2 linked regions of the Alligator mississippiensis genome follow. The protein of the gene in region 2 purifies or fractionates together with the protein of the main gene of each other region. This does not show direct contact. Links are inferred from orthologs where the notes say so. Each region holds a gene or a part of one and is shown on either strand. Other genes may lie near its edges. The genes, in order: NOD1 and SUGT1.

Region 1 (10,892 bases), on a different chromosome or scaffold from region 2:
TTGCATTCTCCTTTGCCTGAGGAAGGGCACATGAGCCCAAAACCTTGCAAATAAAGAATTTTTTTTGCAAAATCTAGTTGGTCTAATAAAAGATATTGCCTCTAACCCACTGACTGCTTTTGCATTTAGACCAACACAGCTACAACCTTTATCCATGCAATAAATGTTTCCTCTGTGCCTTCAAGTTAGATTTGTTTACTGACCAAAGTGATTATTTAGTACTGCTACGCTGCACTGGAGAGTTCTCTTGCTACATGCAGTACTAAATATTTGCAGTCAGAACCTGTACAGGAACACTTCTTGGAGCTGTTGTGAGAGACTGAAAATGGTTTGATTTTTCTGGTCCTATATTTGGTAGGTAATTTACTGATATTTAAGATGACAAATTACTAAAAGAGAATGTTGTAACCCCCCACCCCCAAGTTATTTTTAGGAACTTACCTTCATTCGACTACTACTTATAAAAGAGCCTCCAACATTTTACTATTACGTGGACATGCCTACACGTGGCACTATGTCACTGTAGCAATGCACTACAGTAGGAGTGGGCAAAATGTGTCCCGCAGGCCGGATGCAGCCTGCCAAGTCATTCTACTCAGCCTGTGGAACCCCTAAAAAATTTAGAAAATTTAAATTTTTCTGCCCCTGGCTGCCTGTCATGCGGCCTTTGACGGCTTGCCAAAACTCAGTAAGCAGCCCTCCACTCAAAATAATTGCCCGCCCCTGCACTATGGTGATGTAGTGTCGGCAGGCACAAACCAGCCGCTACACTGCTGTAGTGATGCGCTCCCTCAGTATACTTCCAAAGTATTAAATGACGGTGCAGTAACAATGACACCATAGTGGCATGTGTAGATGCAACCCTTGTAAAGGGAATTTACAAGAGTAGGAAAAAACAATACATTTGAGAGGCATATGAGTACACACACATACCCCTGCATTAAAGGTTTGAGCATCATGCTTCAAGACAGATGTGGGCAAATCAGAGAGTTCAGAGGATAGCAACACGAAAATAATTATTACTAGGCTAGAAAGATATGAAGAAAAGTTGGAAGAACCGATCTTATTTTGTGCAAAGGAGAGAAGACTCAGGGGGATTTGACAATAACCTTCAACTACAAAAAAGACTGTTATAAAGAGGAAGGTGATCAAATATTCTGTGTCCACAGGGGACAGGAAAAAAAGTAATGAGCTTAAGCTGCAGCAAGGGAGAATTAGGTTGGATATGAGGAAAACCTTTTTAATTCTAAAATTCAATTAAATTTAATTCTAATTTTAATTTTTAACTCTTAATTTTAAGTTTAATTCTAAAACATTACCTAGCGAGATTATGGAGACTCCATCACTGGAACTTTTTAAGTGCACGTTAGACAAACATTTGTCTGGGATAGTTGAGACAAGGATGACCTTGAGTTGGGCAGGAGCATGCATTAGATGGTTTCTTGAGGCCTATTTTTCTCTGTTTCTAAGTTTTACTGAAAACTGATGCTACAAAATTCCTAGAGATGAGAGAAAACTGGTTTTACTTTTATAACCGTGCATTAGCAGAATCTATCCAAAGCCCTGACTCTGATTTTAAAAAAAAATTGTCCGTGAGTGAACATTTATTTCATCCAGGTTTACAATCTCAGCGTAACAATTATAATCAGTAATGCTTATGTCAACCAATATTTTAAGAGCCATATGCTAATCATACACAGATGTTAATGCACAATAGCTCCCATGGTTTCACTGGAGTTACTTTGCCTTTTCTCCTGCATAACTAAGACAATCTTTCCTCTGTGGTGTTTTTCCCACTCTCTCTCTACCATTTTTTTAATGGTAGTAATGGCAGTAAGCTTTTTTAATTGTTCCTGGTTGCCTGAGAAGCAACAGATGTACAAGAACTCAGAGAAGAAATTAATTATGCTCGCTGACAGATTGATGGTTCATGCTGCTTTTAAGGTACACCTTTCTATACAACTGGCTAGCGATTTTCATTTATAGTTTTGTGTTCTTGTTCATGTATATTCTCCTTATTTGGATTTGCCATTAGATTCCCCAATACTGCTCTTTTCAAACAGAGATTTATTAATTCCGGGTTTGACTGAAGTGGCAAATCTGAGTCATTAAAGAGCTCCGGTGTAGGCTTCCTGATACTCCTTTTACGGTTTTCCAAAAGCTCTTGCCATATATCAGAATGGGCTGCCACTAAAAACAAAGAAAAGAAGCCTTTATCTTACCCTTAACGAAGAATTTTTCTCTGTGGTTTTACTGGACTAATATTCCAGTCTTTCTAATAAGGGAGATAGTATTCTATCTTATTATTCTAGTTGGTGAATGATCTTGGCAAGAGTGCAAAATATTGCCTGTTTCACACTTTCAGGATTTTTTTCCGGATAAATTTCCATGCTTGGTATCTGTTCATGATTGGAACAAGATTAATTCTTGCCAGGAACTAGTTGGGGAGAAGAGTGGGGAACAGCTCCTAACACACTGGAACTCTGATTGGAGCCTTCAGGCACTACTACTCCAACATACATCACTACGGGCAACCCCCGCTTAAGACTGTTTCGCTTACCGCTATTTTGCTATAATGCTCATTTTAAATTGATACCTGATTTCACTTAGTGTTCCGCAAGTTTCGCTATAATGCTTGCCAATTCCATCTTGGGTCATTAAAAACACTTGCAGTCACCATTTTGGGCCGTCAAATACCTTCGGTTTTCCTTAATGCCCGTTTCGCTTATTGCTTGGTTTTTCAGAAACCGATTAAGAGCACTAAGCGGGGGTTGCCTCTACTAGCAATATAACAATAGTAACAAGGTGATGTACAGGGCTGCCTGCTGATCCTTAGAGCATCGACATAATCCAGAGGCGAGAAGAGGCAAAAAGCCTTGTGCCTTTTACGTTTGCATAGTTCTGCTGACTTCTATGTCTGTCCTCATGGTCACTGAGCAGGGCATATAGGCCTAAACTGTATTAGTATGTAAATCACATTGAAATGGATGGATTTACAGTTGAGCCCGAGTCTGGCTTTATTCTGTTTCTCTTAGTGGATTGAAAAGAGAACGCATTCACACTCACTCACCCAATGTCTTTCCAACTAGGAGAGCAGGGGGAAAGGTTCAGATTACTTTTTAGGTTAGTGTAGGGGTGGGCAAAATGCGGCCCGGGGGCTGGAAGCGGCCCACCAGGCCGTTCTATCCGGCCCGCGGGGCCCCTAAAAAATTTAGAAAATAAATAATAATCTGCCCTAGGCTGCCTGTCATGCAGTCCTTGATGGCTTGCCAAAACAGTAAGCAGCCCTCTGCCCAAAATGATTGCCTGTCCCTGGGTTAGTGTTACCCCTGTTTTTCTCTGGCTGCCTCATTTAACTCTCTACCTAGACATTGCCTGGTAAATTTTTGAAGCCCTGTGTAAGAGCAGATGAGTCATGGGATAATTTTCTGGGAAAAGGGTGCGCCTCCCATTGAAGCAACCTGAAATTCCCCACTTGCAATCTGCAGGCAAGCTGAGCCCCTCCATGCACTAAGTGCAAATAAAGCCAAGAGCAAGAGCCCCAGTTGCAAGCAAGATTCGTCTTCAATCTGGACGGTGGGCATCATATCTCTCTGGTCCACCGGTCCCCTCTGCAGGGCTGTTTTCCTTAGTCTTGCGGAGGCTGACTAAACGCAGACGTGCGGCATGACCGCGACAGCAGACGTCAGGGGATCACTTTGTTCACTTTTCTAGCTTTTCGTTCCCAAAGCTGGGCACGCGCTGCCTTTCCTCAGGGCCCTCCTGCCTGCCTTGGCTCCTCTCCCAGAGGGGCTGGGGCCCAGGGCCCCAGCCTTGCCCGGTCCTTTTGCCTCCCCTCTCCCCCCACAGCAAAGCCGGCAGAGCCAGGCCAGCCCCGGGCCAGAGCCCGGCGGGGCGGCACGAGGCGGCTGGCGGGAGCGGGAGCCCGACCCCAGCCCCGCGCCACTTACCGCCGCTCCGGCCCCGGGAAAGGAAAGTGAAAGGGGAGGAGCGAGGCCAGGGGCCCGGGCCGGGAGGGGAGGGAGCCAGGCAGGGCGTCTCCTCCTCCCCGCCCCGCGGGAGTGCTCGGCGCTGGAAGCTGCCCCCGGCGGCTCCTGGTCCAGCCCGCCCCGCGCGGCGTCAGGGGCCCGGGCAGCGTTACACCCGGGCGAATAGCACAGAAACCGCGGGGTGGCAGCGCCCTCGGGGCAGCCGCCGGGCCCAACCCCTGCTCCAGCCGCCGCGGCGTTGAGGTCTCTGCATCCCAGCTGGCCCCGGAGCCGAGCCCTTCCGTGCCGGAGGCCGCAGGATGGGGCGCAGCGCCCCGCCCCGCCCCGCCGGACTCTACCCCGGGAGGGCTCCTCGCCTCGCGGACTGCGCCGGGGAGACCTGAGCTCAGGAGGGCAAAATGCACCTGACCGGCACGCTTTAAAAGCCCACCGGGCGACTGTCTACATGGGATTCAACATTTCATACTTCTTGCCATGAATGCCCTGGGGGACCCTCAGCACTCTCCTGCAGATTGATGTCCAATTCCTGGACAATCCTGGAGGGTTGGCAACCTTCATGCAGAAAAGGACCTGGGGGGTCCTTTTGCCTTATCAGCGGGTATGAGCCAGCCTCCTGCTCTGGCTGGGGAGAAGGCTAAGGGGGGACTGGACTGCGCTGGTAGGAGTGTTGCCAGCAGACGGAGAAGTGCTTCTTCCCCTCTGTTCAGCGCTGGTGACACCTATGGTGGCCATCATAGAGGACATTCTGGTTTTCTGCTACTCTCTCCTCTATTGATATGAAACCCAACACCTTTATGTTCTCTATTTTTCTCTTCAAGAGAAAATTTTTCTCTTCAAAAGAAAAATAGAGGACATAAAGGTGTCCGGTTTTGTATCAATAGAGGACAGAGGACAACTGGACTGTCCTCTATGATGGTCACCCTAGTGACACCACATCTGGAGTACTGTGTCCACTTTTTGGCCCCCCACTGTAGAAAGGATGTGGCCAAATTGGAGGGAGTCCAGTGGAGGGCAATGAAAATGAGGGGCATGGGTGACTGGTGCCTCCTAAGCCAGCGGGGACACTTGCCTCCCCAGCGGCCAGTCAGTGACCGGGGAGCCGAGCATGGCAACCCAAAAGTAGCATTCCCTCTAAGCTGGCTCTGAGAGGAAACACTGCCCGAAGGGCCAGGGACGCACACGGGTTCTCCTGGCGCCCCCACTCCCCGGCCAGTGCTCTCAGGGGGGGCACCAGCGTTTCCATCTGCCCGCTTCCTAAGCAGGGATGCTGGCTGTGGGGGTGCAGCAGTGCTCTTGAGGTGCATGTGCACTCCCTACATGTTGCCACTGATGAGAAGTCTGGGGAACGGGACTTGAGGAGAAGCTGAAGGAACTGGGTTTATTTAATCTGGACATGAATGGTGTGTGCCCCTGGCAGCTGGGGGGGCAGAGCGGCAGTGAGCAGGGAGCTCCCGCAGACGTCACCGGTGGTGGCGGGGGGTGGCAAGCGCTGACCAAGGGTCAGCGACCGCCTGCAGCTGCCACTAGCAGGAATTACAGACCACCTGCAGATGCTGCCTTTTTGTAGAGGGTGCACTGCCATGCTCAGGGGGTGTACGTGCACCTGTGTGCACCCCTTACGCATTGCCCCTGAGTCTGGGGAAGAAAAGACTGAGGGGGGATTTAATAACAGCCTGGAGGGTGGTTCTGTAGAGGATGGAGCTCAACTGTTTTCTGTGGTGGCAGATAGGGCTGTGCAAAAATTCACCACCAGTTTTGTTTCGACGCTGTTTTAACCTATTTCAAGGTTGAAACAGCAAAATCGAAACGAAACAGATATGGTCAAAACAAAACAAGGCAAGTCGAAATGTTTTGCCGTTCCGACACTGCTTCGACGTTTCGCCCACAGGCTATAATGGGGAAGGTTGAAACAGCCTATAACTTTGTAATTCCTGGCCAGATTTGTATAAAACTTGCAGAAATGGTAGCCCCTTCTGGGGGCATAAAGTGTGCCAAGTTTCAAGGAGATGGGTATAGGGGGTTTGGAGCAACTGCACCCCAAATTCTTGAGAGCCAAACTTGTGTCACGTGTACGTGTTAAGTCACAGCAGGGTCAAAACTGCAGGAATGCTAGCCCCTGCTGAGGCCACAAAGCCTGCCACATTTCAAGGCAATAGGTGCAGGGGGTTTGGAGAAACTGCACCCCAAAATCCTGAAAGCAAAACTCATGTCACATGTAAGTGTTAAGCCACAGCAGGGTCAAAACTGCAGGTATGCTAGCCCCTGCTGAGGCCACGAAGCCTGCCAGCTGTCGAGGAGATAGGTGCAGGGGTTTGGGGAAACTGCACCTCTGGCTGCTGACAGGCAAAACTTGTGACATGGGTGCTTGTGGGACTGTGTCTGTCTTGGAGCATGGGGGAGGGGAAACTACTGCAGGCCTGGCTGCTAGGCCCTGCTGCAGCCCCTAAGCCTGCCAACTGTCAAGGAGATTGGTACAGGGGGGTTCTGGGGACCTGCACCCCTAGCTGCTGGCAGGCAAAACTCATGACTTAGGTGCTTGTGCAACTGTTGCCTCTCATCAGGCAGCAGGACTGAAGATCATCATTTGCCACCACAGACCTGGGGGTAATAACTGACCACAGTATGAACATGAGCCAGCAGTGTGATGCTATAGCCAGCAGAGCCAACAATACACTGGCATGCATCAATTGATGCATCTCCAGCAAAACCATTGCAAAGGAGTAATTCTTCTACTCTACTCGGCTCTTCTCAGCATTGGTGAAACCGCAGCTGGAGTACTGTTTCCAGTTCTGGGTGCCACACCTTAACTGGGCCATGGTAAAGCTTGAGAGAGTCCAGAGAAGGGCTACCTGTACGATCAGAAACTTGCACAGCAAGCTATACAAGGAAAGGACCTGGGACTCTTCAGCCTGAAAAAGAGAAGGCTGAGAGGGGACTTGGTAGCAGCTTACCGCTACATCTGAAGCATACATCTAGGGCTCGGTGAACAACTGTTCACCAGGGCACCCTTGGGGAAAACTAAGAGTAATGGTCACAAACTCCTGGAAGATGGTTTCAGGCTTGTTTCAGGCTCAACATTAGGAAAAACTACTTCACAACTAGGGCATCCAGCCTGTGACCATTACTCCACATGGGCTAGCATGCCTCCAGTTTTGACACCACTGTGGCTTAACAGGCACAAGACATGAGTTTTTCTCTCAAGAGTTTGGGGTGCAGTTTCTCTGAACCCCCTGCACCTATCTTCTTGAAACTTGGCACGGGTCACGCTCTCAGAAGGGGCTACCATTCCTGCAAGTTTCATCCAAATCTGGATAGAAATGGCAAAGTTATAGTCAGTTTCAACCTTTCCCATTATATCCTATGAGCGAAGGATCAAAACGGCAAAATGTTTTGATGGAACGAAACGGAACAGCCATTTCGACTTGAAACACAATTCGAAACGAAACACTGTTCTGTCGAAACAGAATGCTTCCATTTCGTGCAGCCCTAGTAGCAGATGACAGAACAAGGAGCAATGATCGTAAGCTGTAATAAGGGAAGCTTAGGTTAGATACTGTATTAAGAAACTTGCATGAGGAAGGTAGTAAAACACTGGAACAAGCTACCCAGAGTGGTTGTGGAATCTCCATCTTTAGAGGTTTTTAAGACCCAGCTAGACCAAGCCTTGACTGGGATGATATTGTTGGGGATGGTCCTGCTTTGGGCAGGGAGTTTGACTAAATGACCTCCTGAAGTCCCTTCCAAACCTGATTTTCTGATTCTAAGTGAGAAGGGAACGGCACAAACAGAACCCTCGTCTAACCCAGTCACCCACAGACTCGGTGAGATGGACCTATGGTCTGACCCACTAAATAGCAGTTCTCACCTTCTTCCAGATTTTGTCCTGTACCAGATGGAACTGACAGGGGCAGCTGTAGTTTGACCCTTTTCTCATTCTGTCTCTCTGCTTTTCAGTTCCAGCTCACAGGATCGCCAGAACTGCTCTTCTTTTATATTATCATTCTCAGCATCCTTGATAAAAGTTACTTCTTTCTCTTCTTTTGACAGTTGTTTTATTTTGGCCTGAGTCTTATTAAAGTAGCAATAAGATCAGGAGTGTTTTACTGTGCCCTTTTAACCATCTTATAAGAATTAAAAAGCATTCAGTTGGAATTGCTCAAGTGACATTTAAAACAAACATTTTTTTTTGAGATCACCTAAGCACCTTAGAGCCTGAATAGTCATTTGTCTTGCTTTAATTTTTAATTTAATTAGACTCACTTTTTTATTTATAGAAACAAATTTACCTGCAGTAATTTACAGATGAGTATTCTCAGTATGGTAAGTTCAGTTGTACATTCATACAAAAGGTTCAGGTTACAGAAGCTACAGAAGCAAAGTGGGGCTGGTCTAGGATATCAACAGCAGGCAGAGACAGCAGGCAGGGGCCCGCAGCCTCCACTGGCAGTCCCTGTTCAGCAGCTACCATACAGAAGCTACAATAAGCATTTTTGAAGCAAGACAACTTACACTAAAGAGACACAAAAGAAATCTGGCAGTTGTTACTTTATTTACCCCCCAATTTTTAGTTGCTATTACATAGGTTTCATATATGCAGTATACAGTACAGTATACAGTATGCATATAATGGGGCGTAATGAAAATCTGAGATCTCAGCTTCCATGAACATCGTTCACATGACACCTAGAAATGAAATGAACTGTTCTGGCACACACTTATAAAAAGTTTGTGCAATAAAGACAAGATAAATCAGTTCATGTGCAAGTTTGACATTTCATAATACATAGTCCCATTAACTCTGGATGTAACTCTTATCTCCTGTGTATCAAGGAAAAAATATTTAAACGATCTTCCATATAGAAAGAAAAAAAATTAAAATTCAGTTGTTTTGTGTTTCCTCACATTGTTCAGTTCCCCATCAGTAATCATTTATCAAAAGGTCAGACTCCTGCGAAGTTTACAACACTTCCCAATTCATATGAGGTTGTGAGCATTGTAGAGAGACTCACAGCATTTCTCTTTTGGGTCCAATTCAAATCATTGTGATGAATGAAAAGACTGCCATTGATTTCAATAACCACTGGAATAGAGCTTGTGCATATCCTTCTGACCTCTACAGAAAGTAGAGAGACATGCAATGATCCAACGGGATAAAAATAGCTAACCAACTCTTCGGAATTTAAAAAACAAAAACAACAACTCAATTGCAGCCACTTATTTTATCTGGCCTTATTCACCAATCCCTAGTAATTACCACTAAAGACGATTACAGATGAAATGCTATCCTTAGCTGGTAGTTTCTTCAATAGCAGAGGGTGACCTGTAGAATTAGCATTTTAGAAATACCTCCTATGAAGTATATCTATTGACTTTTAAAATTTTCCCTTTTTTTTTTTAAGCTGAAGCTGGTAGGAATTTTTTAAACAGTACTGGTAGGAGTTTAATTAGAGTGGACTGACAAAGGCATATGTCTCTCACACAAGTTAGTACCAATACTCAGTAATTTATTACACCAATTCACAGGAAGTGATTTAGCAGCTAATGACCAAACAGAAGCTAAATGATTGATTTTTAATAATCACATTAATACCTTCCAGCCAGAAGAGGTCTTGTTCCACAGAAGTTAGTTAAGTAAAAAGCCAAAGTATAATTTCTCACTTGGCACCCCCATGGACTTTTAAAACAGACTGGAGAACTGAATGTACAACACTTAAAAACCAAGCGGCTCAATTCTGCAGCCTTAATATTCCTAACGGGAAGCTGCCCAACTGGCTTTCTTTTTTATGATGATCGGTAACAGGAAGATGTGACAACATGAACTTTACCAACAGTATGATAAGGGGATTACAGAGAATTAGGTCCAGATTCCATAAAGATTTACATATAGCTTTCTATATGGTGCATGAAGTCAAGCCCAACTTACACACATACCTTTGCAAGGCCAGGGCTTTAAACTTGCTGAATCCAGTCCCTTCCTATAGAAGTACACCAGGCCTGCCCCATTCTTTATCACAAAAGGAAGTTGCTAATCAGCCTATTGAGAAAATTCATGCTTAAATCAAAATGAACAATCAGGCAATGTGGATCTGGAATTACTCTAGGAGTACACCTGGGTTAGACAATGGGTTTGGATAAGGATGATCCTGCCTCAGGCAGGGGGGTGGACTAGATGACCTCTGGAGGTCCCTTCTGGCCCTACTTTTCTATGATTTTATTAAGTTATTGTTTCCCTTTTTTAACAGCAGCCTCAATTTCTTCAAAGATTGACATTGGTCCTGTATAGCCATTGGTCTCTATTAGTTCTAATTTCTTCTGATAGTCAGGTGGTAATCCATTCTGTTTTGCACCCATGCAGATGACCTACAAGTGAAAAGAAACACTGTCTTACTATGACATTACAGTGAAACAGTTTGATCTCACAAGCTTTTGGTTCTGCAAACAGTACCACTCATGTAAAAGAACTAAAACCAAAGCCCTGATCCCAGGCATCTTCCTATAATCAGATCAAGGGAAATAACCTTAGCCTGACAGAACTTGGAGAGAAAATCATTTTCTTGGCTGGAAAAGTTAGGACACTTTTTTGAAATTGTTGCTATGCATGTAGTATAGCAAAGACAGCTTTATGTTATGTCCTCAATCCTGATGCTGTATTAGTTGAGATGTATTCCTTCATAAAGCTCTAAAGAGTAGTCTCGAGAGTAAAATAAGGGGAACAGAGGACCAGAAAGTACATAAGGAAGTTCCCAAGTTATAGCATTCTTTAAATAGACTCTGGAAGTACACACCCTAGCAGTGATTATGAAAACTTTCCCTGATAGTGGGCCCCGGGTCAAGAGACACACATACATAGGAGTCATATGATCAAGCTAAATTAGCTGTTCTCACTCTGGAGAACTTTTTTAT
Region 2 (11,162 bases):
GCTTTCAATGTCTAATACAATAAAAAAAACACCTGCATAACAGAGGCACCAAAGATGCAAGTTTAACCTTGCTCCCAGCTCATGCTGGAGATGACTCCCAAATAATTTAGCTGTAAATGGGTACCTACTCATTCATACAGGGCAGTCAAAGGCATCTGGACATGCTAGCCACATCCCCTTGTGCAGATGTAGGCTGGCTACTGAAACAGGTACAACTTCATTACACTAGCCAGGTTGGCAAGGTTCTGGAGCCATGGGCCAGATCAACCTAGCTCTGGTCCCAGAAGGGTCAGTGCTTCCAACCCAGCACATAGCTGCCACTGCACTCACCATGCCACCTGACTACAGAACACACCACACTGGTAGAGCTGGCTTCACAGGCTGTATGTTGCTGACTAGCATACTGAGCAGTCAGGCATGGGTGGATCTCTGACCTAGACCTCTGGACAATAATTCTACTTGCTGAGCTATAATTTTACTGGATTCCTACTTTCAGAACTCAACTACCCACCATGAGGCAGGTTGAAATGTTGAGAGCTTGCAGGAACCTCAAGTGCCTTGAGGAACAGACAGACCAGTCTCATAGTAAAGGTTTTGGGTTGGTGTTCAGAGATGAACACCTTAAGGAACCATTCCTTGCATTTCAACATGGCAGAATGAGCCTAGAGAGCACCTGTAGCAATGAATTCCGGATTGTCCCAACAAAGGACTAGGATGAAGGAGGAAAGGCCAAACCATATGAGTAGAAAAGCAGTAGGGAGGCCCGTTACACAACTGCACTCCTAAGGATTCAGCGCATTGTTTTGCAGTTCAAAACAAATGCAGTTCAAAGTCTCAAGTCTGACACTGCAAGTCCACCAGGGGAACAAATATCACTCGTCTTCCATGACCTCCCATAGCTATTGTAACAAAGCACTGGCCAGAAGTGGGGAGGCTTATGAACAATGTAAACAAGTTTGTCACCAAGAAAAGTCTGTGAAACTCCTAGCCATGCGAATGATGCCAGTGCGACCACAAAAGTGGGCTACTCTCAAAATTAAGTGTAAAACGCTCTTCTGACCCTTCCCAGGAAGTTCCTCTCTCAAACAGGGATGGATCCAGAGAGCGCACAGTGGTAGATCATATGCTCTTTCACACCACACAGCAGCCAGAGACTTTTTAAAAGTCCCTATAACAAGTGAAAACACTCTCTCTCGGCACCTCTTCCCTTCCCCTCTATACTCAGCAGCACTCCTTCCTCTCTTCTCTTCCCCTCCCATTTCTCACCTGCTACTGGTGCTGTAACCATTGGAGGGTGGGGGGAGCTTCAGAGCAGCTCCTGTACTGCTCCCATTAGTGCAGGGGCAGGCAATTATTTTGAACGGAGGGCTGCTTACCCAGTTTTGGCAGCTGTCCAGGGCCACATGGGTAGCCCCGCCCCTTGACAGGTGCCCCACCCCCTGGTCACTACCTTGGGACCAATGTCCCAGGGCCAGCACCAGTGGGGCCCAAAACGGGGCACAGGCCAGCAGGGATCCGTGGAGCTGGGCTGGGCTGCACCAACAGGGAGGGGGGGAGCTGGCCCGGGTCCACAGAGCCCCTGCCAGCTGGGACCCCACACTCCTGCCACCCTGCTCTAGGCTCCACTGGCACCGGTCCCGGGACACCCATGCAGGCCCTGTGCTCCTACTGGCTCCCCGCCTGCTCACACCAAGTGCCCCCCAGCCCCAGTACAGGCAGGGGGCAGCACACAGCCCCAACCCCCTGCTCGCCAGCAGGGAAGAAGCTGGTGCTAAGCATGGGGAAAAGTGACCCCTCACCTGCCCCACGGCCGGCACCCCGCATTGCAGGCGCTCGCAGCCTGTGCAGGGCTGTTCAGAGCAGGCATAGGCAGCCCCAGGCAGGCTGCAAGCAGCTGCAGTGCAGGGCACTGGCCATAGGGCAGGCGAGGAGCTGTTTTTCCCCGCGTTCAGCACCAGCTTGTAACCCGCCCCACTGCCAGCCTGCAAGTGGGGCCGGATTACAAGGTGGTGCTGAGTGCGGGGAAGAAAGCAGCCCCTCCCCACCCCATGCTGAGTGCTGCAGCCACTCGCAGCCTGCCTGGGGCTGTCTGTGCCTGCTCCGGACAGCCCCCCCGTGGGCTGCGAGCGCCTGCAGCGCAGGGCACCAGCCATGGGGCAGGAAAGGGGCTGCTTTTCTCCACACAGGGAAGGAGACCAGGGAAAAGCTGAGCGCGGGGGGGAAGGGGTCCCTCTCCCGCCCCGTGCTGCAGGCGCTCGCAGCCTGCAGAGGGCTGTCTGGAGCGGGCACAGGCAGCCCCACACAGGCTGCAAGCAGCTGCAACACAGGGCACTACAGCGTGGGGCACCAGGCCCCAGAAGGGGCTTCCAGCTGGGGGGTGGGGCCAGGCAGGCCCCCTGTTGATGGAGCCTGCCAGGCTTCCCCTGGGTCCTACTGCCCTTGGTTCCTGTCATTTTTGACAGGAACCAACAGCAGAGAAATATTAATTTTCCAAGTTTTTTTAGGGGCCCCGTGGGCTGGACAGAATGGCCTCACGGGTCAGATTTGGTCTGCAGGCTGGATTTTGCCTGCCCCTGCGTTAAGTGTGTGGGGAGCCAGGCTCACCTGGGAATAGCAGTAGCAACAGGGAGGTTCCCCCTCACTGCTGGGTCCCTCCATGGAGTTCCCCTCTAGCCCAGCCCAGGAACAGACACAGGCAAGAGTCCAACTGTTGCTGTTCCTGGCCCTGGCCCAGTCTGGCTTCCCACAGCCCTCAAATGGAGTGAGATAGGAGAAGCCATGACAGCAACAGACAGTAGACCTCCCTGAGCCCAAAGGCAGAAGTGGTGAGGGGGAGAAAAGGGTTGCTTCTGAGTAGGGAGGGGAAAGAAGAGAGGTACTGAGAAAGGAGAGGATATTTACCTGGAAGGGAGGGTGTCTTGGTTGGGTATGGGTGGGGGAGGCGCTGGGACCCAGGGACATAACCAGAAGCTACACCAGAGTCCACTCTTGTGAGATGTTGCATAGCTAATTGGCTGGCGATGATGACAGAACAAGGCGCAAAGGTCTTGAGTGGCAGCAAGGGAAGTTTAGGTTAAATTAGGGTTGGCAAGCCAGTCAACTGATCAATCAAATGCTGTCAATTGACTGCCTATTTCATGACTGGTCAAAGATTATAGCAATTTTACACACAAAAAACCTACACTTTTTTGTAGTTTTCTGAACAGAAAACTTTAAAAAAAAAATTTTGACACATTTCTTAATGGAAAATGTATGCTTTTTCTGAGTATTTGGACTTATTGGCAATTTTTTCCCCCAATGTTTGACCCATAGTTCATTGGCTATTTGATCCAGTCAATTGACCAAGATTTACTTGACTGGTCAAATACCCAACCCTAGGTTACATATTAGCAAAAACTCTCTCACTAGGAGGATAGTAAAGCACTGGAACAGGCTACTTAGAAAGGCGGTGGGTTCTCTATCCACAGAGGTTTTTAAGACCTGGTTAGACAAAGCCTTGGCTGGGATGATCTAGCTGGGGATAGTCCTGCTTTGAGCAGGGGTTGGACAGTGTTTCTCAACCCAGGGGTCACGACACAAAAGTGGGTCACAAGAATATATAAAAGGGTCATGAGCAAACTTTAAAAACAAGTTTTCCTTTAGAGGAGAAAAATGTGGGAAACTGCAGCTTTTCCCTTGCAGGCTGGCAGTTCCAGCCTGCAAGGGGCTGCCTGGGGTCCCCCTACCCCACAACCTCCTCACCCCACACACTGGGGGGCTGGGGCCTGGGGGCAGCAGGTCAGGAGTGAGCAGCACTGGGTCGGGACTGGCCATCAATGTTTACAAATGGGTACTGGCACAAAAAAGGCTGAGAACCACTAGACTAGACCTCCTGAGGCCCCTCATTTTTTATGATCTTGTATCAGTATCTGGTAATGATAAACAAGCAGCTACATATTTTACCAGAGTAAAAATACCGCCAATGTCAACACAGAGAAAAATAGGAAGAAAGGGAAGCTGGGCAGTAAGAGAGGCATGCCAACAAGGCGAGGCTGACACAGGTAAGATTTTTTGGAAAACCAATAAAGCAATCACAGAAACAGCCTGTAAAGCAGTAGTAAAAATAAGAAGGTGCAAGTAAGAAAATGTCTAGGAAGAGTTTGGGAACAAAGGGCTGCTGGACTACAGCCCTGACTGTCTCAGTGAGACTCTGAACTGCTGGACCAACAGGCCAGAGACCAAGACTGGCTTGCAAGGAAAGGAGCGTGCTTTCTAACTTAAGTGTGCAGAAGCAGACGGCTCCGGCACAGAAGCCCCTGCCTCCTCAGCAGTGTCCCCTCAGGAGCACATAGGTTCCCCCCCCCACTTCCACCCCTCCTCGCACCCCCTTAGCTCCCCCCAGGGGAACAAACCATTTGGGTGCGGGGGGTGAAGACACAACCAGCCCCTGTACTCAGGCCATTAGGCCCCGGGTAGAACGCTCGGATCCACCCCCCACCCCGGGGCGCCTTGGTGCGGCCGCCGCACTCGCTCTATTAAGCCCCGAACTAAGCGAACCATGCGGCGCCGGGCGGGGGGGATGGGACTGGGAAGAAAGAGACGCACCCTGCGGCGAGACCCAGCCCCGCCCCCCAGCCTCACCTGCACCGCCGCCACCGGGTCGCAATCGATGTCCGCGTCCGAGAACCTGCCGAGAGACACAGCGTTAGCGCGGGGCGGGCCGCCGGCGGCTGGCACAGCGGGGAAGGGCACCGGGACTCACCGCGGAGAAGCCGCCGCCATCGCACCCGCCCCCAGGAAACTTCTGGAGAAACCAAGTCCCAGCCGCCGCGCCACCGCGCGAGGGCTGACGGGACGGAGGGGGTATGCCGTGCGCCCTACGCGGCCTCACGTGATGGCCATAGAGCGGGAGGACTGGCCGGAATAGAAGGACTCCTGCGCTGAGCCACTGGTGGGTGGGGCGCTAATAGCGTCGCGCGCAGGCGCCACCCGCCCCTTGGCCCGATGATGCCGTCTGTGTCTAGTGGCCATTGGACTGCTGTTTCCGTCGGTCTGCGCACGCGCGGGCGGTGCCACAGCGTCCCCTGGCGGCCGGCTGGACTAGACCCCTCAGCAAGGGAGGGGCTGGGGACTCCCTGCCCGCGCCTGCGTAGCCGCGGCTGAGGGCGGGGTCAGGGCCCGGGTTGGGGCGCGGCCCGGCGGGGTTGTGCGGATGCGTTGTAAGGCTGCAGAGCGCGCGGTTGCTGTCGTGTGCGTACGGACATTTCACCCCTGTACAATGTATGACGATTAAAAGTGCTCAAAATATATGCGGTCTGCTGTCCACATTGTATCCATATTGGTCTAGAGAAAAAAGCAATCAGAACGGGGTAGAGGTGATATCCTTTATTAGACCAACTAGATTTTTGCACAAAAAGATTCTTTAATTGCAAGCTTTCAGGCACCAGCACCCTTCATCGGGCATCGGCGAAAAGATTGTAAAAGTTCTCCTGATAGAAATGAAAGTTCATATTTCCTAGGAGAGTCAAAGGTGATAAAATCTCCAGTTTGGAACAGCTCATTTTATATGCAGAGAAAAGCTGCAATAGTCTGTTTACCTCCAAGTTGTTTGGTGTCAAGCAGGATGTAGTCATGTTTCCTTCTGGCGTTTCATACTTGACAGACGAGTTAATAGATGGAAAGCTCTTCTGGGCCAGCATTTCTTATGTGCTAATATGTCTCTGAGCTCTGATGAGGCTCTGCCATGCAGCAAAAGCAAAACCCTAGCCGCTCTCAGGGAGTCTTAACTGAGTTTGGGGTTTGAAGCCAGCATTGTCTTATGACCAAGGATCCTGGTTTTCTCTAATAAAAAACAAAACGAAACACATTTTTGGATATAAAATATTAACTCAAAGTCCACATTTGTCCACAATTAAAATGAAACCTACCACACACACGCATAGCGTTTCACTTTAATCACTGGAAAATGGATTTGGGAGGAGTGGGGTTATATCCAAAAATTTGGGGGTTTTTTCCTCAGAGAAATCTAGGATCCCTGCTTATGACTGCTCGCCTCAAAATAAAGAAATGCTTCAACTTTGATGACCCAGTTCTCACTCAGTCACTCACTCGCTCCTAAGTACGGTGACCAAATGGAACAATGGACAAATACCTCATTGAGCCAAATTACCTCTTGACCATGGCCAGGGTCCTTTTCTGGTCCTTCTTCCTCTGATTCTCTGGTTAATGTGAAATCCAGGACACTGCCCCCCACCTCCACTACAGGCAAAAACAGGGGCGAGGCACCACTGGTGTTACTACTCAGAAAGTGAAGGAGTCAATGGCCTGTTTAGGAATCTAAAAGTTTTCTTTACTTCACAGGTGGTGGTTCCTTCCAGCTGCTGCTGTGGCCCCTGGTCCCTGACTCCATGAAGACTGGTTGCATGCACAACCCCGGCCCTGGCCCAGCCTGCACCTACTCTGGCCAGAGTGGACTACCTCCAGACCAGCCAAGACCCATGTGCACACCACCGGCCCTGAGCTGCCCCACCCTCGCTCTAGATCACCCGCCCACGAGTGGCAGTGGTGGCAACTGGGCAGAAGCTGCTGCTGGGCATGGGGGAAAAGCAGCCAATTCCTCCTCATCACTGCTGGGCTATTCTTGCTCTGCTGCCTGGAGCCTGCACCCAGGCTGCCCTGTGGCTCATCTCCATTGCGGTCACCACTGCCACCAGTGCTGCCTCTGGGCCACCCAGCAGGGCAGCAGTAGCAGTGGAGAGGAGGTGCAGGACAACCTGGGCGCAGGCTCCAGGAGGTTGCAACAAGAAGGACCTGGTAATGGTGAGGGGGGAGGTGGCTCCTTTTCCCCTGCACGCAGCAGCAGCTTCTGCCTGGCTACCACAGCTGCTCATTGTGGGCAGGCCAGTCTGGAGCAGGTATGGGGTGTGCCATGGTCAGGGCTGTGTACATGGGTCCCAGTTAATCTAGGGTTTGTCCACTCCAGTCAAGGCAAGTCCAGAGCAGAGGCAGGTCAGGGCTGTGTGCTCAGCTGCTGCTGGTCACTAGTGGCAGTGGCGGGGAGGAGCTGCAAGGCAAGGGGGTGGGGGTCAGGAAGAGGGGGTGCTGACCGACCCATGACAGCTCCCCAAAACCGCCTATGCTGCTCACGGACCCAAATAATTGCCCATCGCTATTATAGAGCTTGTCTTTCTCTAATAGACAAGTTTTCCTCAGATTTTTGAGCACACGTGCATGCATGTAGGAGTGCTTCAACCAAATAAAACTATCAATATCAATAAGTGTTCCCATATACTCTATCTAGCACTAAAAAACGGGATGGTAAGCTGCCTTTAATTTTGTGAACATGGCCAATAAAACTCCTGACTAGAAACCTTACTGTTTTTCGTAGCTTTCACACTGTGAATGGGAGTGGAATTCTGTTCATTTTAAATGGTTTCCTCCATAAAGGAATTTTCCACACTCCATATTATGAACACTTATGGCAAAATATATTAAACTTGTCAAAATATAATTTGTTTTTCTAATAAATTAGATACATTAAAATTCATATAAAATAGAGTTCGATTTATCCTTTGATGAAAATTAATATAGCCAATCTTTATACCTGCTCAGTGTCACAACCCAAAGTTGTGATTTTTTGTTTGTGTGTGCTTCGGCACTGCTAAATTATTTTTCCCGCTAAATTGCAGCTTCTTTGCACGGTGGAGTTTTCTGCTGCAGAAGAGAACCCCGGTGCAACGGAGAATTTCCCGCCAATTTGAAGCTTTCTTTGCATGGTGCATTTCTTTTGCATCTAAGAAATGCACGGTGCAAGGAGTTCCCACCATTTGTATGAGAATTTGTGCCAAATTATTGGCCGGTTCTAACATATGCACACGTGGCGGCTAGCGATTGGCTTGCTAGCCGTATAAAGAGCTTGAGTGGTTTCCGCCTAAGTTGGAGGACTCCATGAACACCAGGAGAGAGAGAGAGAGAGAGAGAGAGAGAGAGAGAGAGAGAGAGAGAGAGAGAGAGAAAAAACCTTCGCCTCGTGTGAAGATCTCTAAGCACTGCGGATCCTTATGGACCCAACGCATTTCTTAAAAGCCTCTAGCCTCTCCCCATCGCCGATAGATTCCTAGACGTATCCCTTCCTGTACAAGAAACTACCGAACCCACGGAGCTTCAACAACTCCGGGGAAAAGAACGAATTTGTCGTAGTCCTCTAACAAGGATTTAAGCGGAGCTGTACCTGGAAACTGTCCAGCCTACACCACGACCATCTTTGGTGTAAGTAAACAATCTTTAAATCAACCACTACGCGTCCGTGACTAATTCTAGCTCGCCCCCGGTCTTCTCCGACCCCGCGTGCCCGGGCTGCTGGCCACAGCCCGCGTGCGCAAAGACGGGCTGCGCCTCGCACCCGGCCCGCACACTCAGTATAGCAGTTTACTATGGAAACCAATAGAATTTTGAAGAACTACAGAACTAAATGAAACTAGAATTTAGCTTACAAATGTTTGTTCACTGTCCCAACTCCATGTTATCAGAGGACTCTGTTTAAGTTTTCAGCAAGTCATCACAGAAAGAAGCATGTTGTGATTTTGATTCCAAAAAGCCCTGAACAATTTGTAGTTTGTCATTTTGTGATGTCCAGTAATTGTGCAGAGACTTTCAGAGGTAAGAGAGAACGTTGAAACCACCTGTGCTTGTTACCAAAAATATAAAGAGTTAATTCAGTATGTCTGGAGTAGGCTGTTACAGTTCACTTGTAACAGTATGGCACAAAGCTGTTACATGCTCAGACAAATAGCTTGTGGATCAGTATCAGTTTGTGTTTTTTCCACTTGATTTATTTTCATAATAAACCAATTAAAAATACAAAAGACAAGGAACTCAAAATCCAAAGGGCTCCATCATTTAAAAATTTGTCTTTAAATACAAATTCACTCTGGAATATGAATACATATAACTTTAGACCTCTAAACACAATGATCTTATTTTCATCTATCAAAATTTTTTCTATAGAAACAAGGTAGTTGAAAAACTTCCTTGTAAAATTAAATGTACATTATTTACATATGAAAAAAGAATTCTTAAAAGTATTAATCTCAGAACAGCGGCATAAATTGTATACAATTCACTTTTCATCCTTACAAAATAATCTGAAATAGAAAGCAAGATAGTTAAAATCTGTAGCCACAAAATGGTATAAAATAATTGCACCAGTAGTGATGCCACTAGTTTCTGTAATTAAATATATTTGATGTGTTCTTATATCAAAAATATAGATCTGATAATGTCCATTACTGGTGTAAATGTTTTGTGTACTCTCAACAGGAGTGTATTCTTATTTTGCACACCCATTAGTTTGTGCAAAAATGCAACAGGAGGATACCTGGTTGCTACTGTCTATTACTTAGACTGATTTAATTAACTGATATGAAATAGATATTTGGTAAACTTGATAATCAAAATTCATATACATGGAATGAAAATGATGTTCTCTGGAAAGTAGCTGTTGCGTCAAAAGTCAGGTGACATTTGCAGATTAAACAGAAAAGGCTATAATATGTTATTGCAATGTAAATTAGCAACAGACAGAAAATGCTCAGTATATAAGACGTTCAGAACTTTGGCCAAAAACTCAAGAGAAAGTTTTCATAGCATAAAATGCATGTTCCTTCATGCTTGCATTTTGAAACATGAGTATATAATTTTATTTTTATGATAACATTTAGCAATTAACAGAAAATCAAAACCCAGTCTAAAGAATGACTTCTAACAATCAGCTGCAGAAATTAAGTAGCTCAGTAAAACCTGCTTTGGAATTAAATCATATATACAAGAACTGAAAAGGTTCCATCACATTTATGAAAATCATCATCCACAGGGGTTGGTTTTTATTAATATGAATTTGGTTCCAATTGTTCACTTTCTTGTTTTACTTGTATATTAGCTGGGAATCCATTGGAATTGGACAACACCATCAAAAAAGGCTGCTGCTGGAACCTCTGCTCCGACTGCTCAGTATCCGCTATTTTGTTATCTTCTGTCTCCTCTTTTACCATTCCTTGTATAACCGTTTGTTTGGTTTCTGGTGCTTTAATTACCGAAGTGATCACGGTGCCAGAAGGATGAGCTACCACCTGTGAACTGCTGGCTGAGAAAGTTACCACGGGGGTAGGAGCGCTGAAAGATGGAGATGAAGCCATATTGACTGTTCCATTGCAAATGGTCTGCACATTGCTGGTGAGAACCTGCTGAACTTGAGCAGGGGTAAAAACAATGGATGAAGGAGGAGACACTGGTTTTGGAGACTGCAACATGACATTTTCTTTAAGAACTGTCATGGACTGTGAAGTAGGAATGGCTTGTAGGATAAATTTTTGGGGAGTTGTTGCTGATGCTGGATCTGTACTGGCTATCACTGTTGTAAGAGGCACTGTTTGGAGTGTTACAGTGTGAAGTTGCTGGTTTCCAGGTGAAACAACCACTGGAACTTGGGCTGGGGTCTGTAAAGTCCTAGCAAAATTAGAAAACAGAACATATTAGACTGTTCCCAGATTCACTACTGAATAGCCACTTGGCAGCAATCTACTGATATTATTAATCTGGGGGAAAAAGTAAGGAGGCTGCTTTCCATCAAACAAAACAACATAACTCTAAAAGGGAAGGGGTATCACAGGTGAATGTTAAGGCATTAATAAACCCTTCCCAGAATTGAGCTCCTGCCTTTGAAGCATTCTACAATTTAGTGAGAAAGACTAGGAATCAATTAATTCAGTTTTCTGTATCAACCACAGCAAGCTAGTCAGTCCGGAACATGATACTTTACTTTTTCATTGTCTGTTTCACAGATTTGTCAGCTGGAAACACAAAAACCTAAATAATTCAAGATGCAATAACAAGAGTCCCCACATCCTATAAAAAAGGTGTCCATGTGCTTAATTTTGAACATTGCAAGTGTTTATACAATGTGTGTGTTCCTGGGTCAGAACTTCCCATTCAATCACCCATGTACTATGTACTCATCACCTTCAGCTGAGTAGAACTTGGTTCCACAGTCTTCTGTGCTTTGTTAGCTATCCAATCTGTGCTCCAAGGTGTACAAACTACCATCACTCATTAAAACATCAAGACACTGCAGTGAAATATGCTGGTTTAGAAATGTAACTGAAGTCTGTGAATATTAATGTAATTAT

Evidence for each region.
Region 1: the proteins of SUGT1 (region 2) and NOD1 purify together in Homo sapiens (affinity purification with western blotting; 3 studies listed by BioGRID and IntAct, with this or other methods). This does not show direct contact. The link is inferred for Alligator mississippiensis from reciprocal best matches to the Homo sapiens genes SUGT1 and NOD1.

Annotation. Positions count from the first base shown.
Region 1 is NC_081828.1:140,550,621-140,561,512, forward strand, and holds the start of NOD1 (nucleotide-binding oligomerization domain-containing protein 1), read right to left. Parts: upstream 4,260-10,892; 5' UTR 3,951-4,259; intron 3,204-3,950; exon of another isoform or gene 1,320-3,203; intron 1-1,319. Other genes in the region: GGCT (gamma-glutamylcyclotransferase), read right to left, coding at 10,209-10,349. UniProt on the Homo sapiens protein: Pattern recognition receptor (PRR) that detects bacterial peptidoglycan fragments and other danger signals and thus participates in both innate and adaptive immune responses.
Region 2 is NC_081824.1:407,688,381-407,699,542, forward strand, and holds the start of SUGT1 (protein SGT1 homolog), read right to left. Parts: upstream 4,848-11,162; 5' UTR 4,762-4,847; coding exon 4,742-4,761; intron 4,667-4,741; coding exon 4,621-4,666; intron 1-4,620. Other genes in the region: ELF1 (ETS-related transcription factor Elf-1), read right to left, coding at 9,864-10,482. UniProt on the Homo sapiens protein: May play a role in ubiquitination and subsequent proteasomal degradation of target proteins.